2 linked regions of the Drosophila melanogaster genome follow. The protein of the gene in region 1 interacts with the protein of each later gene in a pairwise test. Each region holds a gene or a part of one and is shown on either strand. Other genes may lie near its edges.

Region 1 (9,091 bases):
AGCCACCGCCCGTGGTTCCCGATTCGGAGATCAAGAAGTCCGTGTTCATCTCGCAGTCCAGCGATGTGTTCACCAACCTCGCTCTAGAGGATTGGCTGTACAAAAACTTTGATTTCAGCCGCCACCATGTGCTGCTGCTGTGGGCCAACGACCCGTGCGTAGTCATTGGTCGCCACCAGAATCCCTTCACCGAGGCTAATGTTTCGCAGCTGGTGGAACGCGGCATAACACTTGCACGCCGCAATAGTGGCGGTGGAGCGGTGTACCATGATCTTGGGAACCTCAACTGCACCTTTTTCTCGCCCAGAGAGCGCTACGATCGCAAGTACAACCTGAACATCGTGACCAGGGCCTTGTTCCGCGAATGGGCCATCAAGGCAGAGATAAATGAGCGCGACGACATTGTAGTGATGAATAAGAAGGTGAGGAGGAGCGGTGGCTCTTATCAAGGAATGATGCGACCCCGGCTGATCCCTCACATTGGCATCAGCTCACTTAACCAACAGCTGGGGCTGTGCATCTGGTCTTTATTTGCCCACTCAACGAGTATGCCCTTGTTCAATTACAGATTTCCGGCACTGCGGCCAAGCTGGGACACCCGAACTCGTACCATCACTGCACCATTTTGGCCAGCGCCAACAAATTGCACTTGGGCGAATCTCTGGTGCGGGAGCCGGCCAATTATATTAGCAAGGCCACGGCTTCGGTGCCGTCGCCCATTCGCAACCTGGTTGATGTCAATCGCACGGTGAACGTTGCTCAGCTGCGTTCCGCCGTGGGTTACGAGTATTTGAGAACGGCTGCAACTACGCTTGAAGACGGCGGCAGCACACAGACGATGCAGCAGCGCGGCTTTCAGCTGGTCAATCCCACAGAGAAATGGTTCCCCGGCATTGAGGAATTGCGCTCCAACTACAGCTCTTGGGACTGGGTCATCGGCAAGACTCCCAAGTTCACCGTGCAGAAGGAACTGGAGGTGAAGGGCGATGAGCAGGACATGAAACTGAAACTAAGCGTGGAAGTGGAAGCGGTAAGATTTGTTTTGCCCTGTTTTAGAGAATTATCACTTATGATTTTACTAAATTTGTAGGGATTAATGAAGGAGATCGGCATCCAGCTGCCGCAGAGCGATCAGCTCGTCCCGGTGGTGACTCCGCTCCAGGGCAAGCCCTACAACGAGGAGAACCTGAACGGAATACTTGGCGCCCTTAAGCTCGTCAGCGCATCGAATGTGAAGCAGGCAATAAACGGATCAGCTTGATTACTGTTGTGCTAGCTCGAAAAAATTAACAAAAAAATATATAATCCATTTCTAGAGCACTAACCACGCTAACGTAGTTATAATCTTTCCAAGAAACCATATTACTAACCTAGTATTTAAGCGGTTTACCAACAAACTATTTACTTTTGTTACCACGTTTTATATAAAAGAACTGCATTAAATGTTTAAACATTGATTATTAAAGCATACTGCTGTATTATTTAATACTAAATCAAAAAGCGCAGTATGTATAAAAATAGTTTTTATTTTGTATAACCAATGAAACAAAATGGATTTGTAAAAATGAATACAAAGCTTATATGCTAAATCTTTAAGGCACTTGTTCGCTTTCTTTTGACACAAATTGGTTGTACATATGATTAAAAAATATATTACAAGCTATAAACATGAATACTAGGATACGGAACAACAATAGTGATCTGTGGGTTCCAGATCGTTAATACGTTGAAAACGAAATAGAAGACATTGCATAAATAGCTACAGAAAATTGCACTCAGAACGGAAAAAATGGAAAATGGAAACTGGCTTAAATGTGAACCGTTTGCACCAATTCCGGCAGGTTTTGGTAATCAGGATCGCGGGCGAAAAACTCGGTGAGATAGACAAAGGTTGGCCGATCTTTGGGTCGTTCCTTCCAGCAGCTCTGCATCACGGCATAGATGTAAGCTGGACAGAGATTGGGCTGCGGCAGGCGTTCGCCACTGTCCACCAACTTGATGGCATCGACATTAGATATTTCCCCATATGGCGGTGCGCCGAGGGAAAACATCTCCCAGATGGTCACGCCAAAGGACCACACATCACTGGCGTGCGAGAAGATGCCCAGGTTGAAGCTTTCCGGTGCGTACCAGCGGATGGGCCAACGTCCGCCCTGGGTGAATTGGTATTCCGTGCTACCGGGTCTCAGTGATCGCGACATGCCGAAGTCACTGATCTTCGCCTGGTGGCGTGCGGTCAGCAATATATTTCTGGCGGCCAGATCGCGGTGTACAAAATGCTGTGATTCCAGATAATGCATGCCTGGTACAAACATTAATTAATTAATTGAATTGAATCAAATTGTCTTGAATTTGACTTACCACACGCAATCTGTGACGCCCAAACTTTCAGCTCCGCATTGGCCGTGATCTCATGACCATGATCCAGTATGTACTGCAGCATGGAGCCCAACGGAGCTAGCTCTTGAACCATCATTAGCATTTCACCCTTCGCAATGCCAATCAATCGCACAATGCACTTGTGCTCCAGCCGCATCATAACTGATGCTTCGCGCAGGAACTCCTGTTTGTTGCTGTGCTCGTCGCTAAGCATCTTAATGGCCACCTCCAAGCGCGATTCCTCGCCGGCACCGCTCTTTCTCAGCAGCCATCCACTGTGCACCGAACCGAATTCCCCGTGCCCGATCTCTCTATCCAGCACTAGTTTTTCTGGCTCAATAAAGAATCTCAGCTTGGCGGCCTCCACCTCAGTGGCGCTTGGTGTGCTTGGCGTACCGCTGCACTTGCGATGAAGATAGCTGGCCATCTCACTTTCCGTTGATGCGTTCGGACCAAGCGAGTTTAGTCGCGCCACGGCGGGCGCCTTGATCTGCTGATCCAACAGGGATAGCACGTCCATTGTGGGCTGGTAGCCGTTGCCGATCCACTGACCTGCTCGCTCGCGCTCTATGGCCACATCACTTTTCGTGAAATACTCAACTTCGGCTTCAGTCTTTTGGGCAATCGGTGGCAGGTCAATCTCAATGGGCGTGTTGTTCCTGGGCACGTTGTACACTTCGCCAGCAGCGGCGGCACCAGAACCAGTTACGCCATCCGCGTTAAACGTTGAGAACTCCGTCGAGAACGACAGGCTCTTCAGCATGGGTGCCGCTGCCTGCAGCTCCTGCTCCGTTCCGGCCAAAGAACCACTCACACTGCTCTCGGAGTCACTGCGTTTGCCCTTGGACTTGTTTTTGCGCAGGCTGTTCATGTCGAATAGCGCTTTCTTCGGACTCGTCAGTCGCAGAGTGTTGAACATTGAGCTACTGTTCTCCTTCTGCTTTTTCTTCGTTATGGTCAGGGCGGGAACGTGGGGGTGTTGATGATGCGAATGTGGCGATACTGGAGTGGGCGGGGTAGCGGGCGATGCTGCTTTTGGCTTCATATTAGATCGAGGTATTGTGGCAAACGATGGCACCTCTGGCTTGGGCTGTGGCGGAACCGGATACTTGAGACTCACTGGCAACCCGTACGAGAAACGCATGAAGTGGGCTATTAGATGTTCCACGCTTGGCCAGTAGGGACCGTCATCAATGTACAGAAACTTGGACTGCAAAACAGAGGTTACTTTAAAGAGAACATTTAAAGTACGGTGATAACTTACCCCGCCCGACTGCACCTTGTTACCATTCTGGTAGAGATCAGCTTGCGAAATACGAAAATTCTTGACCACCTGATCACAAAGCAATGTTAAAACCAACCCCGAGGCCGCCGGCGACTCGGAGTAGCGAACCAGAAAGCAGCCGGAGGTGTCTACTTCAGGTTGCTTGGCCAATAGCTCCTTGGCATGCTTTTTTAGTATGGCTACTGCCTCTTCTCTGGTCAGAGTGCCATGATACCACTGGTCTCTTGTGGTATTCGCCGGTGGGAGCTTGTAGTTGAGCAGGAATTCTTCTACTGCCGTTTGGCCCGCTTCCTTGGCCAGATCGAATGGAAATTCACCCGAACTTGTTCTGGGCAACGGCGGAGCCTCAGCCAGGAGCAGCTCTTGCACAGCCTCCAGGTTGCCGTGCTTGGCAGCCTCATGCAGCGGCACATAGCCGTTGTCGATGTTCCTGCCCTGGACATTGGCCTGTGCCGAGATGAGTGTGCGTATGAAACTGGCCGGTTTGGAGCGAGCGGCGTACTACGAATGTAAGTGTATGGTTATAGGGAGCTTTATGCATAGTTGTGCGTGGGTAAACCTACGTGCAATGGCTGGCAGCCAAAGGAGTCGGAGCTGTTGACCTGGACCTTTGCATTCAACAGGTGTTTCAGTATATCCTCGTCCGAGTGGAGGGCAGCCAGATGCAGAGCCGTCTGTCCATCCTGATTCTTGGCATCGAAATTCCGATAGCCGCACTTGAGCAGCTCGAAGACGACCTTGCTCTCGTTTTTGCTTGTGGCGCGATGCAGCAGATTGGTCACTCCGTGGCTGCGAGTGTTGTGCGGCGGCAGATCGCGGATCAAGGGCACCGTCAGCTTGGTGGGCAGACCATTGGCCGCCTGCTGATAGTAGTCGACGAGCGTGTCCAGGCCGTGCAGTATCTTCGTCTGTACCTTGTCGTCGATGGAGAAGAAGGCGTCCTCGCCGCCATGTCGCCGCACCTGGTAGTGACACACCTCACCCTGGCAGAGCAGGCTCAGCACAAAGTCCCCGGCCGCTGTGCTGCTCTCGCGCACCAGAAATGTCCCGTCCTCGTAACCTGTTGATTGATTGCCATACCAATTACCCATCATTGTGCTCCACCACGCCCACATCCCAGCGATCATCACTGATGTCAGGCCAATTGGCGTCCTGCGCCAGCACTTACCCTGCTTTAGCAGTTCGTCGGCTGCCTCGCGGGACAGGTTGCCGTGGTACCATTTCATGGGATCACTATCGCGACTCATTTTTGGGCCATTTGCTCCGATCCTGCTGCGTTTTGTTAATAATTTTGGGGAAGTGTGATCGTTGGTGGATCGTAGGAAAATACCGCCAGCGATCAGTGTTGCCAATTTAGCTTTCTTCCACTTGATTCTGGCTTTTTTACTTATGATATTTCAATTTCTTTTAATTTTCACGCTAAAAGTTGGCAGCACGGCCAGGGGATGGTCGCGTTGCCAACCAAAGAGAGTTGGCGGGAAAATTTAAAATTTCACTCTTAAGATTTCATGGTTTATTATTCATTATTGCTGATTTAAAAATAACTTAAAAGCGAGTTCAATTAAAACTTGATTCTATACATCAATATAAATGCTCGCATAAGTGATTATAATTGTTTATATAAAAATACCTATTTATAATAATATTTAATATTATGTCAGAATTATCATCGATCAGCTTGCATCGCAGAAATTCAACGAATTAATTAAATGAAACTATATTTAAAGTAGTAATAAAACACTTGTCTTAATTGTTTCGCATCTATTGTATATTTTCATTCTCATGTGTTTTTTTTTTTATTCTCATTATGAAATTTTCGCTTAACAAAGTATTAAATTATTGGCGATTATGTTACGATTAATTTTCTTTTCGCTCTGCAGGTTATGTGAGAATAGTCTTAAGCATTTAAAAAACGACTATACGCTAGCATACAGCATCGAAATTAATAAAGAAATCTAGGTTATGAAATATTTATAAAAATTAAATGTCATCGTTTAGAATATTCATATTCATATCCCTTACAATGTAAAGAAAAATTAACGCAAAGCCTATTTTAGTTCCGATTCATTGCTTAGATTGAATTTCTCCGCTTTCGATTTCCTAGTAAGTATTGTGGCAACTTAAGTGACTAACGATACATACACGAAGAATACATAATTATCCCCCCCAAAAAGATATACACCCAAACACACTCGCTCCGAACAGCATATTTAAAATCTGGCCCCTAAAACTTATTGGCTAAATTTTCAGTATGGTTTTTCCATTAATTCTCGTGGTGCTCGATGGTGTTGGCTTTATTCCACCGGTGCAATTTTGTTGTAGGGCAGCTGTGTTCAAAAACTATGCTTAAAAAATAAATTTCCATATTTCGCTATTACGGGGAATTTTGATTTAATTCAATGGCCTGTTCCATGTTCCATATTTTTGGTGTGGATATCGCTGCTGTTAGTGTTTCTGCTGTTGATTAATTTTTGCTTGGTCCTTTCGCTGGCTGTTGATTCATTTATGGTGCTGTTCGGTCCATTAAAAGTAACTAAATTGTAGTGTAGAGCAAAGTTTTAAAGTTTTAAAAGTATCATATTTCGAAGCGGTAACGAATTCCGAGTTCTTCTTGGGCTTGTTAATATTCATTCGGCTTTACATTTATGACTTTTCCTTTGTTGATTTTTGTTGATATTTATATATATATATATTATGTGTGAATTTAATTAATTAGCTATTGAAGGGAGCCCATCACAGTCTTTGATTTCAGAACATCATTTTCATATGAAAAGACAGTTTCCTTGCCGTTTTCGACGACCCTGAAAATGCAAATGCAGATATGAAACGATTCTATGATGGCCAGATAGAGTTTATCATACCGTTTGGTCATCAGTTTCTTGCCATTCACAAACACCGTCGAAGTGGAGGTGCGCTTGACACTGGCACCGGGTCCGCTGGAGATGTGGGTGACACCGCTGCTGCCATTGCCGTGGGTCATCGACGAGAACGAGGTGAAGCCGCTGGTGGGCATAAAGAAGTCCATCATTGAGTAGTTAAGCATTGGAGCCCCGAACGGACTGGCCACTTTGTGCTGGTGGTGATGATGATGGTGGCGAGATGATCCACTGCTGCCGCCATTGCGTCGACTGCCACTCGAGCCGCTTGTGCTGCCATTCGAATGTCCATTGGCATCTGCAAAACGATAATCATAAAAGTTAGAACACTCTCTACACACGTTTACCCATCCCATCAAAACACTCACCTCGGAATAAGTCGGCGAAGGGCGAGTGGATGCCGAAGAACTCACGGAACACTTCCTCGGGCGGGCGGAATGCAAACTGAAAGCCGCCCAAAATATCGAAGTCATCGAAATCGTGTGTGCTATAATGGTGGCGGGCATGCGAGCGACTCTGGCCACGATCGCCCAGTCCATCTTTGCCATACTCATCGTATATGCGACGCTTTTTCTCTGTTAAGAAATGGGAGTACATGGTAAGTTGGGTGTGAAACAACAGGAAAGTAAATGCAATTAATTAGTAATAAACGCTCGAGCTGCGAGGATTAGCTTAGACTTAGCATGGAAACAGTGGTGGGAAAGGTTATGAATGCTTATGAATGCTCCCCCATCACTGTACGAAAACAGCGTTTAGTTGCAGATAGAATGACGAACGAAAAACAAAACGACGTGCGCCAGGATGTCAGTCAGCAAAACCAAAGTAACGAAACAATTGCAACGCTTTTGGCCTCTCGCCTTTACCGAACATCTTGTGGAACGGAGTGCCCTCGAAAATGTTGCGAAACGTGAAGGCCTGGTACCGGTTGCCGGAACGCCGCCCGGAACCAGACCCATACCCCGAGCCCGGATAGTAGTCGTAGTCGTAGTCCCGTCCATAGGACGACGATCCACCGGTGCCGCCGTTGCGATAGCGGGTATAGGAGCTGCTGTTGCTGCTGCTGCTTCCGCTGTTCGAGGATTTGTGCAGCGTGGCCCGGGCATCGTAGATTCTGCGCTTACGTGCTAAATACACAATATAAAGACTTAATGCCAGGCAGCCTGGATCATCCGAATCCGGATCACGTGATACCCAACCCAAATTTCTTTGTTTTTCGACGCTCGAAGAAATCTGCGCTTGAGCAAGGCACTTACCATCGGAAAGAACTTCGTAGGCTTCGGACAGCTCGCGGAAGCGTTTGTTGGCCTCATCCAGGTTGTCGGGATTCTTGTCTGGGTGCCATTTTAGTGCCAGTTTTCGATATCTGCAAGTGGTGAATGTTGTGATGAAACGAATATGTTGACCGGAGGATATGTGTTACTTCGAAAGTCATTTGTTTACTTACGCCTTCTTCACTTCACTATCGGTAGCGGATCGCGAAACATCCAAAATTTTATAGTAGTCAACCATGTTGGTGATGTGTCTTCGAGTTCTCGGTGGTCTCTATTCGCTGTATATCGTTTCAGCACGAATTGCAATCTAATGCGTTTAGTTTTTGGTCCAATCCTTTTCCGGCTTTTGCTTCTGCAAAATATGAACAAAAAAACGGGAACAGAAGATGATGATTAGTCAAGGGATTAGAGCCAAAAATGTGGGAATATTTGAGAAATGTCTACCTTTAGAATCGGATTTAGACAGAACTGAATTTGGAGTTATGTTTCAAATGTTGTTGCTGAAAAAGCAAAGGCGAAATGGAAAACATAAACAAATAGAGAGGAGCACACACGCACACACAGATAAACTAGATTTCGAGTAAAGCAAAGTCAAAGACAGCTTGGTTTGCATGGGCCGCCGACACTTTTCAATTTTTTCGAGTTCAATGTCGTTCGAAAACCCCATTATGCCATCGCCCACACACGCAAACTGTGAACAAGATAAACCGAAAAAGTACACGGCGATAAAAAGGCGACGAAAAAGAGATTCAAAAGCATAGATTACCAAATATATATTCGAATATTGCAATTATTTAGATTTAATGTTTAAGTAAAGTTATACCAACAAGCAAAGTAAAATGCAACATTTCGTAAATGCCATAATATAGTGTTAGAAGTGCCAATTTCTCTCTGTGTAGACAGAGAGAGAGAGAGGGGTATATCGAATACATGGCGCATGTGTAGGGCGCTCAGTTAGCCGTCCATCAACTTTTGGGGCAAAGTTGCTCAAGCGTTTTGCGCCCCTCTTGGATCTCCGATCTCGAACCTCAGATACCCTCCCCCCTCCCCCCTTCCACATTTCCGTGCAAAATAGTCGCTAATTTTATTTAATTTGTATTGTTGTTGCTGCCGCCCGTTGTCATGCAGCCCCCTTGACACAATTTGGCTTGATTTCATGCGCGAGTGTTTTTTATCAAACACATTACAGCGGCCAATTGCCTGTATTTTACTTTTTTTTGTTGTTGTTTGCTGTTGTTGCAAGTGGAAAGTGCTTGGGATAAATTAGCCCTGCGGCCAAG
Region 2 (8,413 bases), on another chromosome or scaffold:
GATGCCAGCACGGTTTTTCAGGAAATAAAGATCCACTTTTAATACCAAACATTAGGTATAATATATATGACAATCGCGAACAAAAGAGAGCTGTTTCTTTCAGTACTTGGTTATTTGGAACTGACATGAAGCACGGGCCAGCCATGTCTGGTCAGTTGGAAAGTACGTACAATTAACTGGGGGATTGTCGTGATCCACAATCTATATTTATATTGCAAAGATAATTGTTGGTTTCATTTCTTGCCAGCGAGAAATCTGATTCACTTAATCGCACGGCAGGTGCTCCCTTAACTCATCAGAAAGTGGTGTTTGTCAAGGCCGTCATTAGCAAGAAATCGCGTGATGAACTGCCAACGGCGCCAAATAAATTTTAAACGAGAAATTGTTCGAAACCCAGTGTTAATAGAACGTTCACGTTTTAGAGCAGATCGTGAATGTGTTCGCCCTCTTAGATACATATTACAATCCTTAAGATAGCCGAAACGATAATATACAACTGGGGCAATATAACCTAAAGTAGAAAGAGATAACCATTTGGCATACCCCTCGACTTTGCTCAAGATTTTACAAGTGATAAGGGTGGATGATAAGACCGCCGCAGTCATTCTCATCCATTACAACAGCGATGAGGTTCACTGATATTTGTTCTGTTGTAGGTGACTAATTCAGTCTCTCTATATATAAGCAGATCCACGGAACGGAAGGTGCGTAATCCGGTCATGGACAAAGACTAATAGAATAATACCAAATCATCCCGTAACATCATACAAATTTACGATGGACAACGAAATCGTGTGAACCAAACAATCCGGTCTAATTTAATTTGCAATTTGAATGCTAAATCTTTCATTTTAACGATTAGCAGAGTCCACGTTTTTCAAACAAAGTATAAACCTTTGGAATCAAAAATATTAACCATAAACTAGGGTGTTACTCTAACCCATTGCCATTAAGTTTCATTTTGCCACTCAATCTTCCCTTCCGCATATGTAGATCATATTAAAATGCGAACTTGCACGAGACAACGAGCTTACATTTGCAATTTACTTATTTGTTTACATGCCTGATTGGTGTTTTAATGAGCTAAATGAATATGTCGTGGATGAGTCACCTTAGGTTAAACAATGCTAGACTATAGTCTATAAACTATACGGATCTGTTAGTTGTATGTATAATAGGCGAGTGTGCGAGATTTTTCAATGGAAAACGTGTTCGGCACAGTTTGTTTTATCGAGTATCGAATCCATGCACCATTCATCGATACCGCATACCCAGCATCTGTTCCAATGCTGAGTCACTCGGATTTCATTCACAAAAGTCTGGCTAAGGCTCGAACTTCGGGTCAATCTACCGCTCAATTCGCAGGTTTGTATTTCAGACCTTTCCCAATATGTGTGTACTTTTGGCACACCTCATATTTATCATACCTCGCCCTTATCTGCGCCCAGTATTGGACAAGCAGAAACAACACGATGAGGCACACTGATAGTGGTTCTTAATCGGAAGGGGTCAACGAAAAGTTGAGGGAGAACCATAAAATGTTAGCAAAGGTAATAGAAGATTGATTAGAAGTAAGTTGCGAGTCCGTTTCCGCTGGCAATCTGTCTATAATGTATACATATGTAGGTACTTATATATGACTAATTTCCTGATTTTCGATGAAAGCTTTCGAAAGAAAAAAACAAAACAAAAACAAACCAAAGAAAATCTGCGAAATACTTTCGGACTAAGGAGAAAGCTTTGTTGTTAAAAAAACTCAATGGCATTCGTCTATTTCATTCAATTAGAATGATATGTATTTTATAAAGTATAAGCATTGCCTATTTTCGTTCCAATTAAACCTCCATCAGAGCTAAGAGTAGGTCTTATATTCTTCAAGTTGTGTGTATATATTTTGTGATGTATTTTCAATTGATTCAGCACAGTGCATATGTAAACATCTGGATTTGACTTGGATTACTATAATCTTAAGCATAGGGGGAAAATGAGCCAGCTATTCCCCCAACTTCAAGTACTGCGCACTTGATAAAGGCTAAACAAAGATTGTCGCTTCCCGCTTTATATAAACAGAATTATTCTACAAAGGAGGAGCCCTCACTTGAGCTGTACTTTGGATAGCGAAATCAAAGTCGAGTTTACTGAATCCACAATACACATCTCCAATAACCGCAACGCATATGTTTGGCGTTCAGTGGGCAATTTAACGCCTTGGCGAGGCGACAAAGCACATTTGGCAAAAACGATTATTAAGAATAATAAACGATTTCAATGGCAAGAAATAGATTTGGTATAAAAACAAGTTGTTCTGGCCCAGGAAATGAAATTATTGAAAGAATATCAGTTTGCACGAGGTCTAGGGTCTTACATTTGTGAACTACGTAAATGCTAGGCCAATCAAAACTTTCAGTGAACAGTTTAATTAAAGCAAAGAGGCAAAGGGTTCTCAAACGTTATTATTTTGGGATGGATGTTAGCTGCCATTATGAAGTATCAGTGAGAAACAGTGATTTCAGCTGTTTCGTATTCATTTCACAAGTGAGCCAAACACTCAACACCTCAGTTTGTATTGGCCAATTAGCGGGCGAAGCTCGGATTTCTAGCCCGAATTTGGATAGAGCTAGAAGCTTTCTCGATTGATTCAGCGAAGAGAACCGATTTCAGCTGAAAACCAAGAAAACATGTGTATATTATTCTAGTGGAAAGGCACCCACACATTGCAATGCAGACAGACGAACAAGAATTAAGCATAATCATCAGCAAAAGCGAAATGCACTTGCAACAATACGGAGAAAGCAAAGAAAAATGTTGGATAATGCAAACCCAAAGCGAAAAGATAGAGAACAGAGAATGTCGTAATCATAAGGGGAAAACTAACATCCCGACTCATGGGTTGCTCTCTAACCACCGCCACATTGGACAAGAAATCCCAGGAGGTTTCATCCCAGCCACTCCCTGCCACTCCTCCACCCAGCATTATCAATAAAGCTGAGTAATCATGGCGACGACAAAGCCCGGCTCCATAAAGGAACCTAAACAGACATTGTGACATGTACGGCATGGTATGATATGATATGATACCGAGGGTGGGGAGAGTGCACCTCTGAGTGCCATTTCAGTTTTTAATTTTGCAATGGCTTGTGGGACTTTTCGCTGTGCATTGCATTTCGAAGCTCGTGTCCTAAGCAGGCGTCATTGTTCATTAAATCACGTATGATAATAAAAATCAAGTTCCATTGCCAGTGTCAGAAATATAAGGTTAAGCTTAAAATCGCTTGGTTAAGGAAACTGTGTGAAAAATAAAAATGCTTTGTATGGGAAATATGATCGCAGTTTATTCCATACTTATTTAATGAATTCTATAAAAAATAAGAACGGTTTCTACATATATCTTAATTTGTGTGCACCCCCATATTCAGAAGTAATATGAAATATCGCTGAACTGATACCTTAATCAGTACTCATAAAGAATTAAACGCAAAAAAATTTTTTGCGACTTGATCTAAATTATAAACGGCTATTATTGTTATTTATTTTCGTGACGATGCATCGACTGTATTTTAATGTGTGCGTTAGTTAGGCAATTTCGATGTGTGTGAGTTTATGCTGGCTGGGTTTTCATTTGATCCGTTGGCGTTGTTGTTGTTGCGGCTGTGACAGCTGGAAGCTTCAGCAGCAATCTGGAAACTGGAAAGAATCCACAAGATGCGGGTTTCCAGGGAGCGAGGTGCTGGTCGCAGGGGGTCGATGAAAGAGAAGTTTGCCGATTTGCTGCCAATTCCCCGAATGACAGATATAAAGATACATGCATGAGATACAAAGAAGAAGAAGTCGACGAAAGCGCAAAACTAAAGCCAAAGAAAGGCCATTAAATTGTGCGAAAGAGAAACCAGAACAGGTTTAACTGTTCTTGGTGTGCGCCCGATAAAAGCGCTAATTGACACGCACACAAGTGCACTACTGCGGTCATAAACAAACCGCTCGTTGGGAAAGAAGAAAGGTGGAAGGGAAAGAGAGCTGACAAAGCTAACCAGGCGAAATTGCACATTTAACAGAAGAAAACTTATTTTTAACAACATAACAATGACTAAAATTAACGTTAAACTGCCACGATTGGGGTTAAAACTCACCTTGGCAAGAAGCACGGTGTAAACTGGTTTTCGGTTCTCACTCAAAACAAACCAAGAATGCACTCGCAATCGAATTCCACTCAATTTACACGTTTACGAAACTTTGGCCATTAAAACCTCGAGAGGATTTGTATTTTTAAATGCTTACAGCACCTTACCACATATATATATAGCTATATATATAAATTTGCTATTGTTTTTACTTTCTCACCATCCACAAAAACTTGTTTTCGTTGTCGCTACTCTCTATTTTGGCACTCTACTCGCAACTGAGCTGATTTAGCAATTAAAATGCAACCTCTTTAAATAAAAACAATTACTTTTCGTGCACTCCACTAACGACAACAATAAGGACAAACGGGCGCGACGCACAACAACGCAATTCTTTAATGCACTTAAGTATTTTCGTCGGTCAATTGGAGCTCGTTTGGTTTTCGCAAGCACCGCAATTACTATTTACTTTATTTTATATTTGCGTACGCACACCACCGCACGAAGCAGAAATTTATTTAACTTATTTAAAATTCAGCAAGAAACGGACAACCGACTTACTTAGCTGCACTCGCCAGTGTGACCGCTTTGCGAGTGTTGGATGAGCTAGTAGTGTGGCCCTAGCGCACTCCCCAGGAAATACTCACTGTGAACAGTCACTCTTTCCACTTATAACACTTTTCACTTGAAAATAAATTTGAATTCTATCTTAAAACTACATTGTTTATTTGCGGAGTAGATACGCCTGTACCACCTGGGATAAGCAGAATGAAAAACAGCTGGAGTAATTAAAACACTAGTCCCCGCTCATTTCAGATCTCCACCGTCATGGACACGATCAAACTGTGGCACAGTGGGCAAGTTCGGTGCCTGGAGATCTCGGTGGGAGCTGCGCAGTGGTGGCAGGTGGTACAGATCCATATGTTGTTCGTCGGCTGGGTGATGGGTTTCCCGGAGGAGATGCACGCCGGGAAGCGAGCATTGCACTCGGGGCAGGAGGGGGAGCTGAAAGGATCGGCATTCCATGAGTATCATCATTATAATCCAGCTTCTGACGTCGACCCTTCACTTACCTATCTGGCACGGGCACTCCGCAGGAATAGCAATCCACCCTATCGCCAGTGGTGTCCTCCGGATCGTACTTGGCGAAGATCCCAGCCGCCAACTCCTCGTACCGTTGAAGGGTAGCCTCGGGAAGATGAGCCTGTTGCTCCAACTTCATGAAAGCCTTGGAGCAGGTTCCGAAGGCCCGATCCGCACAGCTGGCCAGTGCCAACAGGCTGTAGATGTGCTCTGGAGGCAGGACGTCCTCGTAGTCGCGCAGCCTCACCGCAGTGACCACCGCACTGTGGACGATCCCGAAGCGAAGCTGCCTCTGGGCTAGGAGCATGAAGTGGTAGGCCTCGGCGCAGTGCCAAAGCCTCTCGATGGCGGCCGCATCCTCCAGGGCAATGGAGTCCAGTAGGGTGTTCCTGCCGCTGGCGTAGTCGATCTCCGTCGTGGCCACAGCCTTGAGGTGCTCCTCGGCCAGCAGAGCAGCCAGCACGTACAGCTTCTTGATTCTCAGCAGCGGAGCACGCTTCTCTTGCTCCCGTTCCGCCATTTGAGAAAGCAGGCGAGCTGCATCTAGATGACGCCCAGCATTCCGCTGCATCTCGATGGCTTCCTTGAGGCGTCCCTCCTGGAGCAACTGTGCCGCGTGCTTGGCTATGAGCGTTTGCACCTGGGGCAGCTGGAACCTCTGGGCCAGCTCAACAGCCTCGCCCCACTGCCGGAGATTAACGCAGGTGGCGACGGCGGCCTTCTGGTCGCCGAATCGAAGATGGGCTTGAACAGCCTCGGAGCACATGCCCACGGAGGCCAGCATCTCGGCCAGCTTCGGAAGCAGCGGGCTCTTCTCCGGTAGCCGTTCCACGCACTTTTCCAAGTCGTCGAACTGCTCCAAGTGGTACAGAGCCTCCATGTAACCCTCCAGGTAGTGGGACTTCTCGTAGTATTCCCTGGCACTCTCCCAGGAGCGCAGGTTGGCGAAGTGGTGGCCAATCTCCCGCCAAGCGATCTCCATCTGCTGGTCCGACACTCCCGATCCTCCCATTCTGTACAGCTGCACCACGCGAAACCAATCGCAAAGGGTCATGCGCAGCTCTATGGCCAGATCGCGACGATCCGCGTCCAGGTAGAGCTTCTCCGCCTCCTCGAACTCTCCGTAGAAGGCTGATATCTCCGCCCTCTGCAGCTCCTTGGAGTGTATGGTGCGCAGTCTCTTGACCAACTTAATGCCCGGGTAGTGGGCACAACGGACAAAGGCGTTCTCCGCCGTCTCCAGTTCCAGTTTCTTCAACGCAGACTCCGCCAGCAGTCGCCAGAGCCTCGGATGCGGGTTGTCCTCAATGAACTGCTTGGCATCCTCCAGTCCCACGTGCTCCAGTAGATCGTCGGTATCGCGCAGGGACTTTACCCTCAGCTGAATGATATGCGAAAAATTCTGCAGCTCACCCACGCTGATTATGTCGTCCAGCAGGACACTGGTGATCTCCAAGTCCTCGAAGGTGCATATGTAGCCGGAGCAGGACACGGGCTCCTCGGGATCATTGCCCCGGAAGATATACATGCGCGTTTTCTCCATCAGAGCCAGCAGCAGTGGGTTATCCGTGGCCCAGCTCACGGCCCAAACGTCCTTGCGCTCCACCCGACTGAAGTTCAGTTGGGTCTCCCTGTTGTCGTCCAGGTCGAGCAGGGTCATCACGCCCATATGGTCGATAATGGCGGCTCGTCTAAGTAAGGAGTATAAATATTACTAGTATCAAGGGAGTGTGGTGGACTACCCACGTGGAATTGCAGTTGATAGCCATCTTGTAGACCTTGGCGTTCATCAGGTGGCGGTTCCTCAGAGCCACGTTTGCTATGCTGTACTCGTTGATAGCGCCGGATTCCCTGGCGACAAGGAGCAGCTTCTCGGAGAGTGCCAGCGCACAGATGGGATCACTGATTCCCCGCTGCGTGGAGTGACCATCGCCACTGCTACTGCTCAGCATCAGGTCCTTGGCCATTTCCACTCCCGTGGGCGTGTCGTCGATATGGAACCGCTTCTCCTTGCGCGCCTTCACATTGTGCAGGGTGGAGGCACTCTGAAGGGAGATCAATGGGGGTTAGTCAATTGGTAACCAGGTTGATGACTGAAAGTGCCCACCTTGGGTGTGTGGTAGTGCCAAATTAGAATCTCCTCCTGGGACGCTATGGCCACATAGCTCGAGTTGATGCCCACAAAGCAGGGTCTAATATCCGTGTACTTGGCTAAAAATAACTGGGATTAGTCCGAAACATCAACAACGGTGATCTACTCACAATCCACGGTGGTGCCAATTGAATTGCAGAGGAGCAACTGGTAGACCCTATCGTCCGCAGGATTACTTCGGTTCTCCAGGGTGCTCAGCGCAATCTCCTTGATGTTGCTGCTGACACACTCGACGCCCAGGACGCAATGCTCGCTGCTGGACGCCAGGCACAAGGTGGGCTCCACCTCCTTGAGGAAACTCTGATTTGAGACGGTGTTCCAGAAGGTGATCACGCTCATGGGCGACTCCCTGGTTGCACTGCCGCTGTTCAGGAACACCACAGTCTTCTCGAAGTAACACCAGATGTAGTCCGGTCGGATGTTGGCGAAGTAGATGAACGAATCCACGGCCATGGCGATGCGCAGCGATTTGCCCTCCCAGCTAAGCGAGGTGATGTCGGTGCCAGGCACCTTCAGAGTGCGGTAGATCTTGCCCAGCGGCGAGTAGAAGCACACCTGGTTGGTGTCGCGCTGCGAAGTCGGACTTACCGCGTCCAAGGTGGTGCCACAAATGGCCAACACAGTGCCATCATGGTTCCACTTGGCGTCCACATTGCGCATCCCAGTGTCGAAGATTGCGGGTGCTAAAAGTCATGTGGGTTAGTTAGGAGACTCTAGAGCTTGCATCACCTCCTACCGTCGTCATTTTCGTTCCTCATGATCTGCACCCTTCCGTTCTCATAGCAAATGGCCAGAACTGGACGCTTTCGACTCTGGACGACCCTGCCACTGAACCAGCAGATGCTGGCTATGCGGTGACCTCTGGAGGAGGAGCCGCCACTTATGTTCACGCACTGGATGTGCAGCTTCATCTGGAGTACATAACCAACCAAAGTGGGTAAGTATGAAGGATAATCAAGTACTAACTTACAGCAAAGTTGCCTTGGTTATCGTACAGATGACACTCCCCGTTGGCCAGCGCAAAGAGGATTAGCCGATTGTCCGGACTCCACTGCACGCC

What was found. The genes of interacting proteins can lie anywhere in the genome.
Region 2: the proteins of Shark (region 1) and drpr interact in binary tests that used the Drosophila melanogaster proteins (3 or more experiments, as listed by UniProt).

The regions. Positions count from the first base shown.
Region 1 is NT_033778.4:16,197,917-16,207,007, forward strand, and holds Shark (SH2 ankyrin repeat kinase), read right to left. Parts: upstream 4,969-9,091; 5' UTR 4,912-4,968; coding exon 4,833-4,911; intron 4,725-4,832; coding exon 4,228-4,724; intron 4,166-4,227; coding exon 3,644-4,165; intron 3,590-3,643; coding exon 2,362-3,589; intron 2,303-2,361; coding exon 1,809-2,302; 3' UTR 1,510-1,808; downstream 1-1,509. Other genes in the region: Lipt1 (lipoyltransferase 1), read left to right, coding at 1-422, 569-1,030, 1,091-1,261; mrj, read right to left, coding at 6,381-6,465, 6,526-6,838, 6,909-7,115, 7,404-7,664, 7,794-7,903, 7,985-8,049. UniProt on the Drosophila melanogaster protein: Following axon injury, required for recruitment of drpr and glial cells to severed axons and for glial clearance of severed axons from the central nervous system.
Region 2 is NT_037436.4:1,726,398-1,734,810, forward strand, and holds the start of drpr (draper), read right to left. Parts: upstream 4,711-8,413; 5' UTR 4,128-4,710; intron 1-4,127. Other genes in the region: Oseg4 (outer segment 4), read right to left, coding at 4,931-5,123, 5,192-6,892, 6,948-7,246, 7,309-7,412, 7,464-8,036, 8,090-8,264, 8,324-8,413. UniProt on the Drosophila melanogaster protein: Receptor which is involved in the phagocytosis of a variety of cells including apoptotic cells, severed and pruned axons, degenerating dendrites, salivary gland cells, germline cells and bacteria.